3 linked regions of the Sus scrofa genome follow. The protein of the gene in region 1 purifies or fractionates together with the protein of each later gene. This does not show direct contact. Links are inferred from orthologs where the notes say so. Each region holds a gene or a part of one and is shown on either strand. Other genes may lie near its edges.

Region 1 (5,326 bases):
GTCAAGTCTGACATTTCACAGAGAAAGGGGTACGGCGCCCCTTCTTCACGAGCATCCGCGTCGACATCGGTGGCAGCCTGTCTCCCAAGAAGCACCCAGTCCACCACGAGCCGGAAACGCCCGCGCAGAGCGCCTCGGGGGGCTCACCAGGTTATCCTGCGAGCTCGCCTGGGACTCGGAGCTGCTTCCCGCCGAGTCCGTCTCCATCTCCCCGAGGTCCACGGGATGTCTGCGCAGAGAAAGCAGGCACGTCAGCAGAGCCAGGCAGGCCCACCCTCCGCAAACCAGCGCACCAAAGCCTCGCTGCCCGACACCCCCCGCCAAGCACCTCCTAGCTCCCCGAGGGACCACAGGCCCCAGCGACACCCACGTCCAGACTCAGCCCTGCCCGGGCCACCCAGAGGAGAGGCAAGGCGGCAGCAGTTACTGCAGGCAGGAGGCCCAGAGCAGACAGCAACCTGCCCGTCCTCGACGGCAGCGGCGACCCACAGGCGCCCACGAGCATCCTTGGGAGCGGAAGCATAAACAGTAAGTGTGGGGGGAGAAGAACACTGAGAAACCACACCACACACAGTCGCTGATGCTTCCAACTCCCTCCGCATGAGGAGACGGGAAGAGGGACAAGCTGGACAAGAGCGAGTGACGCTGGCGAGCCCAAGTCTGAGAACAGGTTGGACGCTGTTTCAACATGACAGTTGCTGGAGTTCCCGTCGTGGCTCAGTGGTTAATGAATCCGACTAGGAACCAGGAGGTTGTGGGTTCAATCCCTGGCCTCACTCAGAGGGTTAGAGATCCGACGTTACTGTGAGCTGTGGTGTATGTAGGTCACAGACGCGGCTCAGATCCCGCATTGCTGTGGCTGTGGTGCAGGCCGGCGGCTACAGCTCCAATTCGACCCCTAGCCTGGAACCTCCATGTGCGGTGGGTGTGGCCCTAAAGACCAAAAAAAAAAAAAAAAAAAAAAAAGTTTCCCAGTAAATTTCCCTGGCACAGAGCAAAACTCACACATTCACGAGAATAAACGTGTCTGTGAGGGAGAGAGAGGTTTGGGTCAGAAGGGAGCTGGGGGTGTAAGCCGGCAGCCACAGCTCCCACTGTGACACAGCAGGTTAACGATCCCGCCTTGTCTCTGTGGCGGTGCAGGTTCAACCCCCAGCCCAGTACGGTGGGTTAAGGACCCAGCGCTGCTGCGGCTGTGGCCAGGTGGAGTTCAGATTCAATCCCTGACTCAGGTCCCCCCATAGGCCACAGGCGCAGCCAAAAGGGAGTTGAGAAGAGAGGCTGCAGAGCCCAGGCTCTCTCTGCCTCTGTGTCCACCCAGCACCCTGACCACGTGGCAGAAACAAGCCTGAGATCTTCCCAACTAGATGCAGCTTAAAGAGATAAAAGCTGGGAGTTCCCATTTTGGCTTAACAGTCATAGCCCAACTAGTATTCATGAGACGCAGGTTCAATCCCTGGCCCTGCTCAGTGGGTTAAGGATCCGGTATTGCTGTGAACTGTGGTGTAGATGGCAGATGTGGCTTGGATCCCATGTGGCTGTGGCTGTGGCTGTGGCGTAGGCCCAGCTCCGATTCGACCTCTAGGCTGGGAACTTCCATGTGCTGTGGTGCAGCCCTCAAAAGACAAAAAAAAAGTTTATCTTAGGAACAAACAGAACCCCCACATATCTCTAGGTTTATTGCAATCAATTTCCCCAGCTGCAAAGTGAATTCAACCCAGGAAGCACCCTCCTCCCCCGAGCCCGCCCAGAGCCCAGGCTTCACACACTTGTGCAGAGAAAAGGGACATGAAACTGTGACCACTGGCTGCTCTGCTCCCCCAGAACATCCAGGTGGACACTGTGCCAGGACAACCCGCCACGACCAAGTGACAAGGCCTCTGCAGTCACTGCAGGAGCTGCAGGAGCGGGAGGAGAATGCAGTACAGACATACATTTCTTCCAAGTCACACCCTTCGGCAGCTGGAGGGTCCCAGAAATGCAGCGCCACCTTCCACAGTTTGATCTGCTGGTCCCACGATCGTCGACTGTACTTCTTGAACTTGTTGGGAGTCCTGGGATGAACGCCAGGTTGTCGGAGGTGCCTGACAGGAGAGAGAAACGGTCCTGGCACACACCTCTCACTTCTGCACACTGGCTTCCAGAGGAACAAACTCCGAGATGAGTCTCATTAAAAACCACAGACCAGTGAGATTCCACACAACGAACAAAGGAACCGATAACCAGCACTACGTCCTTGGCGACGCGATTTCTTTGCAATCTAGGCTGCAGAAAAGTACATCTGACCTGCAGTTCTGCCAGAAGCAGACACACTCTCTAAAGCTCCGTCCTTGTGGGGCGGGAGGGTGCCACTTACGCAAACTGGGACAATGCTCGTGGTTTTCTCTAGTGAGATATTTACCATCTGTAATTTGAACTTCACTTTTTCCATCACGTATTTTCATAATTTTACATTTATAAGAAAGCTGCATGGAGTTCCCGTCGTGGCGCAGTGGTTAACGAATCCCCCTGAGGTTGCGGGTTCAGACCCCTGCCCTTGCTCAGTGGGTTAAGGATCCAGCGTTGCCATGAGCTGTGATGTAGGTCGCAGACGCAGCTCGGATTCCGAGTTGCTGTGGCTCTGGTGTAGGCTGGAGACTACAGCTCCGATTCGACTCCTAGCCTGGGAACCTTCATGTGCTGTGGGAAGCGGCCCTGGAAAAGGCAAAAAGACAAAAAAAAAAAAGAAAGAAAGGAAAGCTGCGGAGCTCCCACTGTAGCGCAATAGGATCTGCGGCCTCTTGGGACCACCGCAACACGGGTTCGACTCTGGGCCCAGCACAGTGGGTTAAGGATCCAATGTTGCTGCAGCTGCAGCTTAGGTCTCAATTGTGGTTCAGATCTGATCCCTGGCCCGGGAGCTCCATATGCCGTGGGTGGCCAAAAATGAAAAGAACAAAAAAACTGGGAGTTCGCGTCACAGCTCAGCGCCAACAAACTCGACCAGTACCCATGAAGACTTGGGTTGCATCTCTGGCCCTGCTCAGTGGGTTAAGGATCTGGCGTTGCCGTGAGCTGTGGTCTAGGTCGCAGAAGCAGCTTGGATTCCGCGTGGCTGTGGCTGTGGTGTACGCTGGCAGCTGCAGCTCCAGTTGACTCCTAGCTTGGGAAATTCCATATGCCTCGGTGCAGCCCTAAAAAGCAAAAAAAAAAAAAAAAAAAAAAAAAAAAGAGGTGTTCCCGTCATGGCGCAGTGGTTAACAAATCCGACGAGGAACCATGAGGTTGCGGGTTCGATCCCTGCCCTTGCTCAACGGGTTGAGGATCTGGTGTTGCCGTGAGCTGTGGTGTAGGTTGCAGACGCGACTCGGATCCTGCATTGCTGTGGCTGTGGTGTAGGCCGGTGGCTACAGCTCCGATTGGACCCCTAGCCTGGGAACCTCCACATGCCGCAGGAGTGGCCAAAGAAATAGCAAAAAGACAAAAAAAAATAAAAGAAAAAAGAAAAAAGGCAAAAAAAAAAATAAAAAACAAATTATAAGACAGCTGTGAGTCTTAAGAAATGAAATGTCACCTAACGTTGTAAACTACGAAAACATTCCATCTTTTGTCTTTGAGTTCTCAGTCTTTCAGCCGCCGGCCCACTCACCCCATTTACACAAGCGCCCGAAAGCCCTTAACAACACAGTTGTTAGCAGGTGTGAGCGACGTGCAGAATCAGACGGAGCACCCAGACGGCAAGGGCCCGTGGGAGCAGGCGGCGCCGCGCCGCGGGGCAGGACTACCTTGGGACTTCCTTGATGTAGCGGTCGTAGGCGATGGTGTTCTTCCCGTAGTTGATCTGCTTCTGTCTCCGCATCAGGACGCTCTCGTCAGTCTCCAGGTCAGCTGGCAGCGCAGACAGAGACTCCTTCGAGTCGGAACTAAGACAGTGAAATGAACAGAACGGGCCTGGCGGTGAGGACCAGTGTGGAAGGAAACGCCGAGACTCGACAACGGAGCATCTGCCCTGCGGGTCCCACACCCCATCAACCCGCCCAGGCCGCGGTCTTTGAACATGTGGGAGTTTGGTACACAAGAGCCCACATTCGAACAGCAGTGAAGAAGAGAAACACAGTAAGTGCACCGAGACACGCAGCTTCCCGCAGTCACAAGTTTTCTCATTAATAAATTACAGGCCTATTAAATTAGAAAAGAGGAGTTCCCGTCGTGGTGCCGTGGAAACGAATCCGACTAGGAACCATGAGGGTGCGGGTTCGGTCCCGGGCCCCGCTCGGTGGGTTAAGGATCCGGCGTTGCCGTGAGCTGTGGTTGGTGTGGGTCAGACGCGGCTCGGATCCCGAGTTGCTGTGGCTGTGCTGCAGGCCGGCGGCTACGGCTCCGATTCGACCCCGAGCCTGGGAGCCTCCAAGTGCTGCAGGAGCGGCCCTGGAAAGACAAAATAAGTAAATGAGGACAGGAGCGATTCCCAGCACTTACCTTCCTGATGAGGATTTCCTCTCTCTTCCAAAGTCATTGACGAGGAGTTTCCTCTTATACCTGAGAGCGAAGCACATGCTGTTGTTCTTAAAAAGGCACAGACGTTAACTTTCCGCAAGGCTTTCAGAGCTAAAACACACACAGGAACAAAGCCTCTGAGGGTGCGGTCTGCTCTCTCGAGCTCCGCCTCCAGCAGTCACCTTCTCTGACTAACAGACACAGGGCTGAAAATTACTCGTCAAGACCACAGAAAGTGCTTAAAGCAACAGGTTCCAGGCCTGCGTGTCCTCCAGCAGTTTCTGTTTAAGTAGTGAGATCCAAACACCAAGATATTTACACCCTCTAATCCCGGAGACTTTGGAAAAACCTAACAGGGAGTTGAAATCAGAAGTTTTCTTTACGATACCAAAAGTACTCAACCAGACGTGCGTGCCTCCAGGGCACTGCCCCCCTTCTCGGGAAGAGACTGAACGCCCCCCCTTCCTTGCCGACTTCACAAGGCATCTGCTTTCTATACAGGATCCACCAGCACCCAGCTTTGCAAAGGTGTGACACCAGAAAAGAAAGTGGAGTAAAAGCTGATGCTGAAGCTGAGCACCACCTCCGGCCAGAGGTTCACGCAGCTGACTGCGCCTCTTTCCAAAGCTAAAACCCTCCCGCCTCCCAAGTTCGCTGCGGCAGCCCAGCGAGTCTGGACGCCAGGGGACAAGGACCTCGTTTCCCTCCTGTGCGTCGGGACGGCAGTGATGACCCGCCACCCTAGGAGAAGCGAGAAACCAGTCCCTTCCACCCTCTTCGGGAGGGTTTCCTTCTTTGTGGAGGCCAAGGGGAAAAGACGGGCTTTGGGTATGACTCAAACCCATCCTCA
Region 2 (5,978 bases), on another chromosome or scaffold:
GTGAAAGGAGCAAGTTGAGAGATTTGCCTGAGGTCTCTCAGTGGGCTAGGCTGGACTGGACTCTGGCCCTGTCTTCAAACTACTGCTTTTTTTTTTTTTTTTTTTTTTTTTTTTTTTTGGTCTTTTGTCTTCTTAGGGCTGCACTCTCAGCACAGAGGTTCCCAGGCTAGGGGTCTAATTGGAGCTGTAGCCACCAGCCTACACCACAGCCACAGCAACACGGGGTCCGAGCCCCATCTGTGACCTACACCATAGCTCTGGGCAATGCCAGATCCTTGACCCACTGAGCAACCTCATGGGTCCTAGCTGGATTCATTTCCACTGTGCCATGATGGGAACTCCTCCAAACTGCTTCTTAATCCTACTCCCCACCCCTCCCCCTATTTGGTTTCTGGGCCACCTGTACCCTCAGCTGGCTGATGCTCACCATTCCTATCATAGGTTGGCCTTCCTACTGGGAAGGCAGCCTCTGAGCCAGGAGGCTTTGGCTGTTCTCTGCTCTGGATGGATTCCAGACCTAGCAACTTCCCCTGTAACTGTGACAGGCCTTACATGCCCCCACCAAGCTCCTGCCCAGCAAGTGATGCCCTCGAAAGTCTCCATGGACAGTGAGCTGCGCCAAAGACTACCTCCCCAGGCTTCCGTGCCCAGGCCACCCACCTCCTCCTCCTTGCTCAGACTGTCCGGCTGGGCCAGCCGGAAGAGGCAGTCGTAGACCGGGTTCACCAGGGCCATCATGGGCATGTTGTTCACCTGCGGGGGAGAGTGAGCGCCACAGCACTGGCTTGGTGGCACAGGAGACAGGCCATCTCTGTTGCACGGGATGTGGCTGGTGGGGGTGGGGGGGCCCTCACCCTCAGGTAGTCAAAGATGTTGCAGATAAAGGTGACGTAGCAGACCCAGCCTTGCAGGGATCGTGCTCGAAGCTGCTCCCGAGCCTGGTACTCCTGCTGCAGCCGGTTGAGGAGTCCGCGGCGGAAGACACTCTGGCCAGCTTGCTTGCTCTCCGCCTGTGAGTGGGAGAAAGGCTGGTGAAGGGGCGTGACAGTGCTGTCACAATTCCACCCAAGCTTCTAAAGCTGAGGCCCCTGCTGTCCTCTTGTGCCTCTGAGGCCAGCCCTGTGCATCGCTGCCTGGCTAGCCAGGCCTCTGCCCACCTCTGAAGCACCTTCCTCCAAGCGTCTCCCCTCTGCTGTACCAACCCCACCCAACCTGAATGATGGCGTAGCACATGCGTCCTGCTTCCTTGCTGAACACACAGTCCTGCAGAGAATGGTCCACAATCACATTGGCCACCTTCTCCAAGTCCACGGCACCTGGATCTAGGGTAAAGACAGGTGGGGAATCTCGGGGTGCTTAATTATCACATTTGCCTCCACCTGCTTCTAAAGGCTCGTGATGTTCGCAGAAGAGCGAGCACTCCCGTGACGCCCTTCCATTTAAAGAGACCAGAGAACAGAAAGGAAACCGCACGCAGGAGCAGCTCTGGCCATGAGCCTCCTAGGGTGGCCCAATCAGCGGAAACAGGGAGGGTTACGCAGCTGTTAGGGAATGGAAGATGCTGGGTTTTTAGGACACATCTTTTCCTGGCACAAGGGTGAGGACGGAACCCTGAATAACAATGTCTTTGACAGCCGTCCACCAAAGGAAGTGTTCTCACAATGCACACATGAGCCCCCGACAAGAGCGGGCCAGGCGGGGCCTCCCCAGAGGCTTAGCTTGGCATGTGATAGGCATCGCTAATCGTTAGCTGAGGCAAACTTCTGTCCTGAGTGCTGCAGAAGGCACGGGTCCAGGACCACTACTTTCCTCCTCTGCCAAGCAGAACACTCCATCCTCTGTCCCAGGTCAGGCGGTGCTGCACACGGAAGAGAGCTGCTTGCAGCAACACAGAAACCAGGTCCTGTGTAAGGGCTTGAAGGGCAGGAACTGCGTCCTCTGTGCCTCGCCCTCCTGTCCTGCGTACGTAACCTTTTAAAAAAACGCTTTATGGAGTTCCCGTCGTGGCGCAGTGGTTAACGAATCCAACTAGGAACCATAAGGTTGCGGGTTCAGTCCCTGGCCTTGCTTAGTGAGTTAAAGGATCCGGCGTTGCCGTGCGCTGTGGTGTAGGTCGCAGACACGTCTCGGATCCCACGTTGCTGTGGCTCTGGTGTAGGCTGGTGGCTACAGCTCCGATTAGACCCCTAGCCTGGGAAACTCCATATGCCACAGGAGCGGCCCAAGAAATGGCAAAAAAAGACAAAAAAAAAAAAAAAAAAAAAAGCTTTATGATTGGAAGGGTGACTCTATGATTCATACTCCCAAATACTGGCCTACATGGGCTTGTCTTCCAGTTCCAGAATTATGTTGCTGACTCCCATTCTCAGAAACTGAAGGGAGAGGCCTGGGCGTTACGGCTCAGTCCTCCGGTCCTGTCCCCCTGGGCCCTTCTGTGTAGCTCTGGACCCAGGCTCGGGAGGCTCCCCGCGCTCACCTTTGAGTGCTGTCTTCAGCAGCTGCTGGCTCTCTGCATCAAAAGACTGGATTCTGTACTCCTCTCTACCAGGCTCCCCCATGACCATCCAGCCTCAGGTGCTCTTTACTGGGGTGGGATGAGTGACAGCACCTGGGGAGGAGCAGCGAAGGGAGAGGCCTTGGGTGTGGAGCGTGGCGCCAGGGTTCCCAGCCCTATGTGCCCTGGGCAGAACTGGCCAGTGCTTGGGACAGGTGCTCCTGGGCAGTCTTTGGCATTCAGGGCTTGGTTAGGTGCCCACAAAGCTTGGCTTCTGGTGGTGAGGCTGGCCAGGCACCTGCTGCTCAGTTAAAGAAGCCCTGCAGCTTCTGGGATTACACAAGAGGAAAGAGACCTCTACTCTCCAGCCCCAGCAGGAGGCAGGATTATTCTCAGCTGACACCAAGGCTGGGGTGAGGTGGGGTGTGATGGGCTGGGGGGATGAAGAGGTCGATAATTGGACACTTTTCCTGCCTATATACGCCGGTCTGGAAGCTGCTGGTCCAGCATGATTCTCAGCGAGTGAGATGGCTACAGGCTCCACGCTGTGGACAGCTCTGTCCCTGCAAAGTTCCAAGCCCCTCTCCCCAACTCAACCTTAGTCAAAGTCCTCGGTCCAGAGAGCCCACCCCTCCAACCCACGGGATAAGGCTGGCCAGAGGGCTGGGCGCAGAAGCGTCTCTGCCGCCCTGACGCCCCCTTTCCTGGCCAGCTTCTCCCCAGGATGGACTGGTTAAACTGGCCTCCTGAGTGGTAGAGACTCAGCCTGGCCCACCCAGGATTCCCAGTTCCTCAGTTCCATTCTAGATCCTTTCTCTTAAGGAGGGGAGCGGGATTACGTATCTTCCAGGAGTGGTCCCCCCTTTCCGGACTCGGAGATAGCCTTAGGGTTCTCCAGACCTGGGCAGCTTCCCTAAGCTCGGAACGCCCTTCCCGGCGGCTCAGCGCAGCCCACCGTCCGGTGTCCCGTGGGGTGGAGAGATGGTGGGAGCGCCAGGACCCACCTGCCACGCCGGCGCCGCGCCCGCGTGCCCAGAGGCCGTCCGGCTGGCATGGTGCGCGCGGCCCGCGCCCGCGGCGCTGCTGGCGAGGCCGGCCGCGCCTTGCTGCCGCTTAGGTCACTTCCTAGTGCAGGGGGCGGGGCGGGGCCCAGGGCAGGGGGGCGGGGCCTGGCCCGGCCGCCTCGCCGACGCCACCTGCCGGAGCCCCGACGACGCTGCCCCCGCCGCGCCACCGGGCACGCCCGGAAGTTCGGAGCTTGGAGCCAGGCAGGACGCCGGTGACCCTGCTCCCACCGCCGCTATCCTCTCCTCACCTGGTTCTCCCACGGCCTGTCCGGGACCACAACGGCTGCTCGGCGTTGGGCCCGATGTGCTCCGCGGCCGGCATGAAGCCCTCGGTCTTGAGCGCTGGCACCCCCCCCTTCGCCCCGCCCCCACACCAGGGCTCAGGTTAAAACGGGGTCAGGAGACTCGCCTGGCCGCGCGGTGTGGGAGGAGCCTGCGGGGGGCGTGGCCTTCAGCCCGGGGGGTGGGAGGGCCGAGAGGATGGCTGGAGGGGCAGGACTTCGCAGGTGGTGGCACTTTTACCCCCACCCCACCTCTCAAGGTGAGAGCGGGAAGGTGGTAAGGGCCGGATCGAGTCCCATTAAGCCCCTCTCCTACTCCAAATACACACGCTATTTAATGGTAAAACTAGTTGAAAATCAATGGGCTAACCCAAGAGAAAGGGTCCCAGGTGCCAGCTTGCAGAGGGGAGGTGTTAGGAGTGACCCTGAGGTTGCGCAAGCCCCCTGGCTCAGTCTGTCTTGGTTGGGGCTGGGGGGAGGCACGGGGCGCAGCAGTCCAGACAGGGCCACCCCTGAGGTCAGCCCTGGGTTGCAGGAGGGCACACAGAAGAGGCTGGCAAAGAACTGCCTTGTCCCATCGATTAGACAAGAAGTGTCCATGGCGGTTTTCTGTATCCAAAGCTCTCTCCTGTCAAGCTGGTCAGCAGAAAATGAACAAGGAAGACAGTCTCAGCAGAATCTCAGAATCAAGTTCACTTCAATGGAATTTCATAAAAAATACATTCAGGCAGCTGCCTCCCTGTAGCCCCAAGCCTTGACTGCCAAACCCCTGTGGGTGTGGGGGCCCCCCAGCCACAGCTGCCAAGAGCAGGACAGCTTCAGGATTCTGGGTCCCAGACACATCACAAAACCCCAGACCAGAGATGAAGCAGTAACGGCGTGCAGGAGCCCAGGATCCAGAGGGACTGAGAGCCGTGACAGCCCCCAAGACCACATGCTAGGAAGAAGGCTGGAGCTAGAGCCGAGGTGAGGCCAGCGTGGGGCTCCCTCTGCAGGGCCAACCCCTCAGGCCGAGCTCCCCTGGGGGCCTGGGCGTGAGGAGACCTGGGGGGGAGGTGGTGGTTATGTTCTGTAGATTTTCTTCACCTCTCAAACCCCTGTGCCCTGAAGACTCCAGGGCACCAGCTGTGCTCGCACCAGGCTGCCTGTTCAACCCCTTCCTTCTGGGATTACAGAGGACGCACACAACGCCTTGCTGGACCCAGGAGGAGCAGCCTGAGCAGGCAGCGGCTGCCCAGTGGCTCAGCTGTAGGCTCCCACCCACCCAGGAGAGCTGACCCAGCCCCCCAGTGAAAGAGGGGTGATCCCCGGTAGACCAGGGAAAAGGGGTGCTGCCTTTACCCACACCCCCTCCCCGTAGCACATCCCCCCAGTCTGCAGGGCTGCTTAGTATCTGCTTTCCCTCAAGGCCCACAGGCTGGGGCCAGGCCTGCCCAGAGAGAGAAGTGAGTGATGATGAGCTTTTTTTTAGGGCCACTCCCACAGCATCCACAGCATATTGAAGTTCCCAGGCTGGGGGTCTAATGGGAGCTGTAGCCGCCAGCCTACACCACAGCCACAGCAACGCCAGATCCTGGCCACATCTGTGACCTACACCACAGCTCATGGCAATGCCAGATCCTTAACCCGCTGAGCGAGGTTAGGGATCGAACCCACATCCTCACGGATACTAGTTGGGTTCTTAACCTGCTGAGCCACAACAGGAAGGCCCAATGATGCCTTCTAGACATGAAGATTTGAGCCTGGCTGGGTTTATAAAAGGAGCAACGCAGCTGGGATTCTTCACCCAGGAGCAAAAGCAAAGCTGCCTGGGGGATGCAAATGCTGAGAAAAATAGAATTCAGGAAAGTAGGAAAAAAAAATAAGAGAAGAAAATAACAAAAAAATGAATAAATAAAAGTAAAATTAGAAAAGGAAAAAAAAATTACAAGTGGCGAGCAGGGCTCCCTTCCCTCCTCCTTTGTGAAGGATGTGATGGATGGGGCGATGGAGAGAAGATACGGAGCCTGCTTCCAGCCTTGATGTCTATTAAGTGAGTCGGTGGGAGAGAGAAGTCAAGTGTGGGGACCAGACCCTGGAAAGGGCTGGATCCCTGCCTCACACGGGGGCTGCGGCTCCGCCCAGAGCCGGGAGAGT
Region 3 (5,853 bases), on another chromosome or scaffold:
CAGCATTGACGACAAAAAGTAGGTAAATGGGAATCTGTTGAGTGGCTAGATTCCAGTACTGTTGCTTTATATTTTGTAAACCTAGGAAATCATTCAGATGTCAAAGCACAAAAATAACTGTGGAGCCTATGAGGCATAAATGCTAAGAGGGAGGGACCCACCAGCGGAAAGAGTCAGGTGTGCTTAAGTGTGTTCCTTTGGCCTGGGGACTGGGACTGGCACCCAGACAACTAGCTTCTGGTACCCACTCTGCCTATCACAAATGTGCAACTCCGTGCCTGCTGCCTTCCTCTAGAAGGGAGAAGATGACCTCCCTCCATGCCCTTTGATGCAAGAGTCAAATGAGCTGCTCTACTGGATGTGACTGGATGTTGCTTTGCTTGCCTTTGATGGCTTGGTGCATTCTGAGCCTGGAGCCAAGAACACATGCTCTCCACTCTCAAAGAAATCCCACCATTTCTTCAAAGGCCCACGGCAAACCCCATCTCTGGCAAAAAGCCATCCTAGGCTCCTTTTGCCCTCTAGACCCACCCTTCATCCCTGAGCCTCCTTTTGGGGTCCCTGCCCTCTTCTGCCCTGCCAAACTGCTGGGACTTGCATAATTTGCTCTCTTATCTCTCATACGGAGACTTTATACCCTGTAGCCTTAGTCAGAGGCCTACCGCATCCTTTGCCTTGTTAAAAATTTTAGTATTTTTAGCTACAGTACTACTTACTTCTTCCAGGAAGACTTCCTTGACCCTCTCCCACCTGCAGCCACCCTCCATCCTGAGAGATACCTGGCACTTTATGCTTATTCTCATGTTAAGTGTTGACTTACTCTACTTTCCTTGTCTGTGGTCCTTAACCAGATGTTGAGCTCCTTAAGGGCAGGAATCGAGGCTCTGTCTTGGCAGTCCCAGAACTATCCCATCTGTGAAAAATACCCACCAAATGTTACATGACGTAGTACATGATTTTCTTTGATTATATTGTCACACAGTTCCTCCCCCGAGTTTATAATCCCCTTGCCTGGAGGGTGTGCAGCATCATATGTTTCTCTAGAAGGCTCAGTGCCTAGCACCTAGTAGGTACTTGGAAAACACTGGTGATTTGGTTAAGTGATTACTGAATTATCCATTGCATTGAATTCTCCCTGCTTTAGCCCTTGCCATGGCCAATGGAAAATTAATTGGTTGCAAAGTGCATATCTAATTACAACATCCCACCCCTGCCACTGAGATGTTCAAATGTTAATTATAACATATGCATCTCAATAACAGACGTTAGCATTTAATACAGCGTTAATAACTACACTTGGGCAGCCCAATGCGTACACAAAGCTCCCTTTTATCTGCCATTAGTACGGACTTAGCACTTAAAGTAAGGAAGTCCACATCCTTAAAACTGGTCTGGTCCCTAAAACCCAATGTTATCCTGCAAGCCTGGACCGCGCCTAAGCCCCCAGTTCTCCCCACGCAGAGGTTCCCATCCAAGGCCGTGCCAAGGTCGTGAGGGGAGCCGGGTTTGGTCGGCCGGTTTTGGGGTGGCTAGACTGGGCTATCTAGGCTGCTCAGGCGGCATCCCCGGCTTCCCCGCGGCGTCCCGCTCTCCAGGGCCCGCCATCCCGGGAAAGAAAGGAGAACTACATTACCCAGCAGGCCTCCCGCCGCCCTCTTTCCTTTCGAGTCTTTGCACGTGGCCGGAGGGGAGGGCGGGGACTGGACGTCACTCTTCAACATTCTCTTTCCCTGTGTCAGAGCAGGGATCATTTTTTTTCCTTCCTTTACTCCCTCCCCCCTACCCGCCCCTCCCTCCCTCTTTCCCTTCCCTCCCTCCCTCCCCTCTCTGCTGGGTTGGTGCGCTGGGGCGCCGGAGCCCCTCCGCTGCCCGGACGCACGGAACTCGAGGCAGGAGTAGGCTCTCCCGAGCCTGCTCCCTCCCTTCTCCTTCCCTGCCCCCTTCCCCCACCCCCCGGCTCGGGCTCGGAGCGGCGGCCAGAGGAACCCCGAGGTGAGCATCCCCCTGCCCGCCCCCCTCTTTTAGTCATCTCCGCTTGCGGGTCGATTCGGGGACCCGAGAGGACGGCTGCGTGACGTGCGCGTGCTTATAGATAAATCCGGGAAAACCGCCCCAAACAATTCGCCCCCTTCCCCCCTCCCTGAGTCCGGGGCGGCCAGGCGTCCGCGCCCATCCGTGGTCCCCGCCTCTGTAGAGGACCGCACTACGCGGTCTCGCCCCCTCCTCAGGTTTGCTGCTTCTCCGCAGGGTTCCCCGCCGGTAGGGGAGCCGAAGCCCTGGAGCTCCTGTGAGGAGGGGGGTTCTTGGCGGGGGGGCGCTCGGCTGGAGCTCGGCTCGCGTTGGAGCCGCGCGTTGTAGCCGCTGTCATGTGCCGGATTCCGACCCGTGGGGGGGGGAGGAAGAGAGCGAGCGTGATTCCTCTCCCTTTTGTTTTGAAGCCCGCATTTGCTGCATCAAGCAGTTGGTTTAGTAGCGGCCAAACTTGCAGCTGTTTTGACCGCGCTCCGCTGAGGTAGGGAGCGCAGCTCCGGGTGGCGGCTCCCGGCCGGAGGCTGCTGCGCTCGCGGCTCCCGGAGGGACCCGGAGAGAATGTCTCCTCGCTGCCCCTCCCTCCTTCGGTGACTGATTGTGTCAGTGGCAGCGGCCGCGTGTGAATGTGTGTGCGCGCCCGTCCCCGCGGGCGCGGGGATGTCTGTCGTCTAGACAGGCTGCTCCCTCCCTCCGTCCCTGGTGAGCCCGCGGGCCGCGGGGGGCGTGGGGGATGGGAGCAGAGGAGGAAACTGGATCGGTGGATCCATTGCAGTCGCAGCTTTGGACATTCCCCGCAGCGGTGATTGTGTTGGCTTATTTATTATTATTCTTGTCGCCGCTGTGTATCTGGGCCTAGGGAATAGATCCATCGGCGGAGCAGGGGTTAAGTTGACAGGCTCTGAAAAACCAGCTCGCGGTGGAGCTGGTGACCCAAGCCGGAGCGGAGTGGGCTCCAGCTCGGGTTCTTCAGCGAGCAGGTGACTGTCCTGAACACCGGCTTGGGGCGGGGGGGGAGGGTGCGGTGGCTGGTCTGCTGCTGCGGTCTGGTGCTCCTTAGGGCCGCGTACCCGAGCCTGGGGGCACCTGGGGGAGGCGTCCCGGGAACCGCGCATCTGAGTTGGGTACGTCTCTCCATTGACATTAAATGACACTCCGGGGTCTGAGCCCCTCATCTGGGCGGTGTTGGCTCTTCGGTTTCGTGGAGTTTTCAGGGTTGGGGTCGGGGGACAGATGTGAGCAGAGAGGGAGGTGCGGCGTGTAAAGGGAGGGATGGTTGGCGGCGCGGTGTGCATCCCCATCCCGGAGAGTGAGGCGTCGCCTCCCCCGCCCAGCTGTTTGTGTGTGTACACACCGCTCCGGCTTGGGGCGGGGGCGGGGACTGCAGAGAGCGGCGTAGTGGGGACGCGAGTGGGCCCCGATACCCCACGGGGATCGGTCCCGCCAGGGCTCGTCGTCTTGTGTCTGTTCGCGCTCGCGCCGGGGGTTACTTGGAGAGGGGGGCGTGCGGCTGGGGGCCCGGGGAGACCCTGGAGTTGCGTGTACGCGGAGTCAGTGAGGGAGTCCCTGGCCAGAGAGGTGCGACGGTCTCTCCCTTCGCAGCCCGGAAGTCCCCCTGACCCGGCGAGCTGACTGCCTACTCCGAGTCGCTGGGGACTGGTCTGGTGGGGCCTGGAGGAGTCTCGGGCGTGCGCGTGTCGCACTCCCACCCCCTCTCGGTTGACCCTTGGCCGGAGGCGCTCTGTGGGTGCGCGTGCCCGCGCCTGCCGCTACCTTCGCAGCTGGAGAGAATCAACATGCTATGCCCCACCCCCCTCCCAATTTTTCGTGCTGGAGATAGTGCGGGCCAAAGGCTGCCTGGCCTGCGCGGCCCCGGGCCCAGCCCCGCGCTGCCTTCTGCGCCGCTGCGGGGTGTTCGGCCTTGTGCACGCCTTTGCGGGCTCCGTTCTCTCCGCGCTGGGTCTCTGCGGCCGGGTGATTATCTCCCAGGCTAGGGGCCCGCGAGCTAAGGGAGGAAGCTGCTGGAGCTGCGGGCTTCACCGCGGCTGAAGGCTCCCGAGGGCGAAAGTGACACAGCACGAGCGCCACTGCTGCGGATCTGGAGGGGAGAGGAAGGAGCCGCCCAGAGGGCGGGGAGGGGCTGCAGGCTGTCCAGCCCGGTTCCTCCTGTCCACGCGGGGCCTGGGCAAAAACCTCAGGGATCCCTGCTACGAGCATGCTCGCATCGTGCGAGAAAATTGGCTTTCAGGAAACCCAATTATACTGGAACAGAACGCACCGAGCAGAGGTTATAAAATGTTCAGCCCTTCACAGAAGGCATTAAGGTTGCCTGAGGAAGCTCCCTTTGAATGTTTGAGACAGGATTCGATTTGCACACAGATCATCTCATCTTTGTCAAGTATCTGTCCTGGGTCATGTATACTTGGAGGCAGTAATTTTGTAAAGCATTTTGGGTACAGTGTCATCAGTGATTAACACATTGCTAGGATAATAATATGTTTGTGTGACTTTACAGGGCGCCCCCCCATCATATTTATTAAGAGGGCCCCATGAGGTGGAGGGGTATTAACCCCCCCCTTTACAGAATAGAACACTGAGGCTCAAAAAATGATGCAACTTGCCCTAAGCCTTTCTGTAATTTTTTTTTTTGGTCTTTTTTTTTTTGCTATTTCTTTGGGCCGCTCCCGCAGCATATGGAGGTTCCCAGGCTAGGGGTTGAATCGGAGCTGTAGCCATTGGCCTACGCCAGAGCCACAGCAACGCGGGATCCGAGCCGTGTCTGCAACCTACACCACAGCTCACAGCAACGCCGGATCGTTAACCCACTGAGCAAGGGCAGGGATCGAACCCGCAACCTCATGGTTCCTAGTCGGATTTGTTAACCACTGCGCCACGACGGGAACTCTCCTTTCTGTAATTTCACATATCAGCCTATGGCTTTTAATCTAAATAGTGGCCACCTTTTTTTGCTTTCTTTTCTTTTTCAGAGTAGGTCTTGATACCTGTGGAAGTACTGAACCTGAGAAGGGGGGTGAATTATGGTATTTATTTTTTGTCAGAAACACTTTTGATTTGCTACATGTCCTAACAAGAATAGGTCATTAAAGAACAGAAGTCTGCATTGCTGTTATTATCACTCATCTGATAATTTGCTTTTGGTGAATGATCGAATTATCGGCTTTGGAACACCCCGTATTTACAAAATTATACCTGTATATAATAAATACATCTGGATACATGTTTCTCCCACACATGTGGGTGTGTTCATGGGGTCCTTATTGAAGCCAAGGTTTATTCTTTAGTTCCTTGATTCTAAAACCATAGATTTAAAGTAGCTCCTGAGAAACCACCCAGCTTCTACTCCCTGTGCCCTGCATCTCCAGGGATAGGGAAGCCTTGAAAAGAACAAAGAGCTCCTACGTACCTGTGTATATTTCTCAGTTCGTGCACATGAAAGCTCTCAGACACAGCCTGGAGAATTATTGGGTTTGTCCCGATAATCAACTATTCATTCACAGATATATATTGAGCACCCACATGTTTGTGTATCTCGAAGCACATACAAAGACTTTAACATACCGACCCTGCTTGCCAAAGATATCTCCTAGCTGTGGAGGTAAATTAAGATTTTAGGCCCAGCAAATATTTGTTAAGCACCTACTCATAGGCTAGATACTCCGCTGTGTTGGGGACACACAAAGATAGGATAGCAGAAACAGCTAAGTTGCAGTGCAAAAAAAAAAAAAAAAAAAAAAAACAAACCAAAAACCTGGATGAATCAGAGCTTGCAGGAGGGAACAAATCATAAATATTTTAGAGCACTCA

Evidence for each region. Proteins that work in one complex are often made in the same cells at the same time.
Region 2: the proteins of SLBP (region 1) and MIF4GD purify together in Homo sapiens (affinity purification with western blotting; 3 studies listed by BioGRID and IntAct, with this or other methods). This does not show direct contact. The link is inferred for Sus scrofa from reciprocal best matches to the Homo sapiens genes SLBP and MIF4GD.
Region 3: the proteins of SLBP (region 1) and CTIF purify together in Homo sapiens (affinity purification with western blotting; 3 studies listed by BioGRID). This does not show direct contact. The link is inferred for Sus scrofa from reciprocal best matches to the Homo sapiens genes SLBP and CTIF.

The regions. Positions count from the first base shown.
Region 1 is NC_010450.4:807,096-812,421, forward strand, and holds part of SLBP (histone RNA hairpin-binding protein), read right to left. Parts: intron 4,519-5,326; coding exon 4,459-4,518; intron 3,903-4,458; coding exon 3,765-3,902; intron 2,085-3,764; coding exon 1,935-2,084; exon of another isoform or gene 230-1,934; coding exon 148-229; intron 1-147. UniProt on the Homo sapiens protein: RNA-binding protein involved in the histone pre-mRNA processing.
Region 2 is NC_010454.4:6,045,310-6,051,287, reverse strand, and holds the start of MIF4GD (MIF4G domain-containing protein), read right to left. Parts: upstream 3,994-5,978; 5' UTR 3,810-3,993; intron 3,622-3,809; exon of another isoform or gene 3,395-3,621; intron 2,609-3,394; 5' UTR 2,565-2,608; coding exon 2,477-2,564; intron 1,323-2,476; coding exon 1,213-1,322; intron 1,011-1,212; coding exon 855-1,010; intron 754-854; coding exon 661-753; intron 1-660. UniProt on the Homo sapiens protein: Functions in replication-dependent translation of histone mRNAs which differ from other eukaryotic mRNAs in that they do not end with a poly-A tail but a stem-loop. May participate in circularizing those mRNAs specifically enhancing their translation.
Region 3 is NC_010443.5:98,131,623-98,137,475, forward strand, and holds the start of CTIF (CBP80/20-dependent translation initiation factor), read left to right. Parts: upstream 1-1,860; 5' UTR 1,861-1,992; intron 1,993-2,683; exon of another isoform or gene 2,684-3,008; intron 3,009-5,853. UniProt on the Homo sapiens protein: Specifically required for the pioneer round of mRNA translation mediated by the cap-binding complex (CBC), that takes place during or right after mRNA export via the nuclear pore complex (NPC).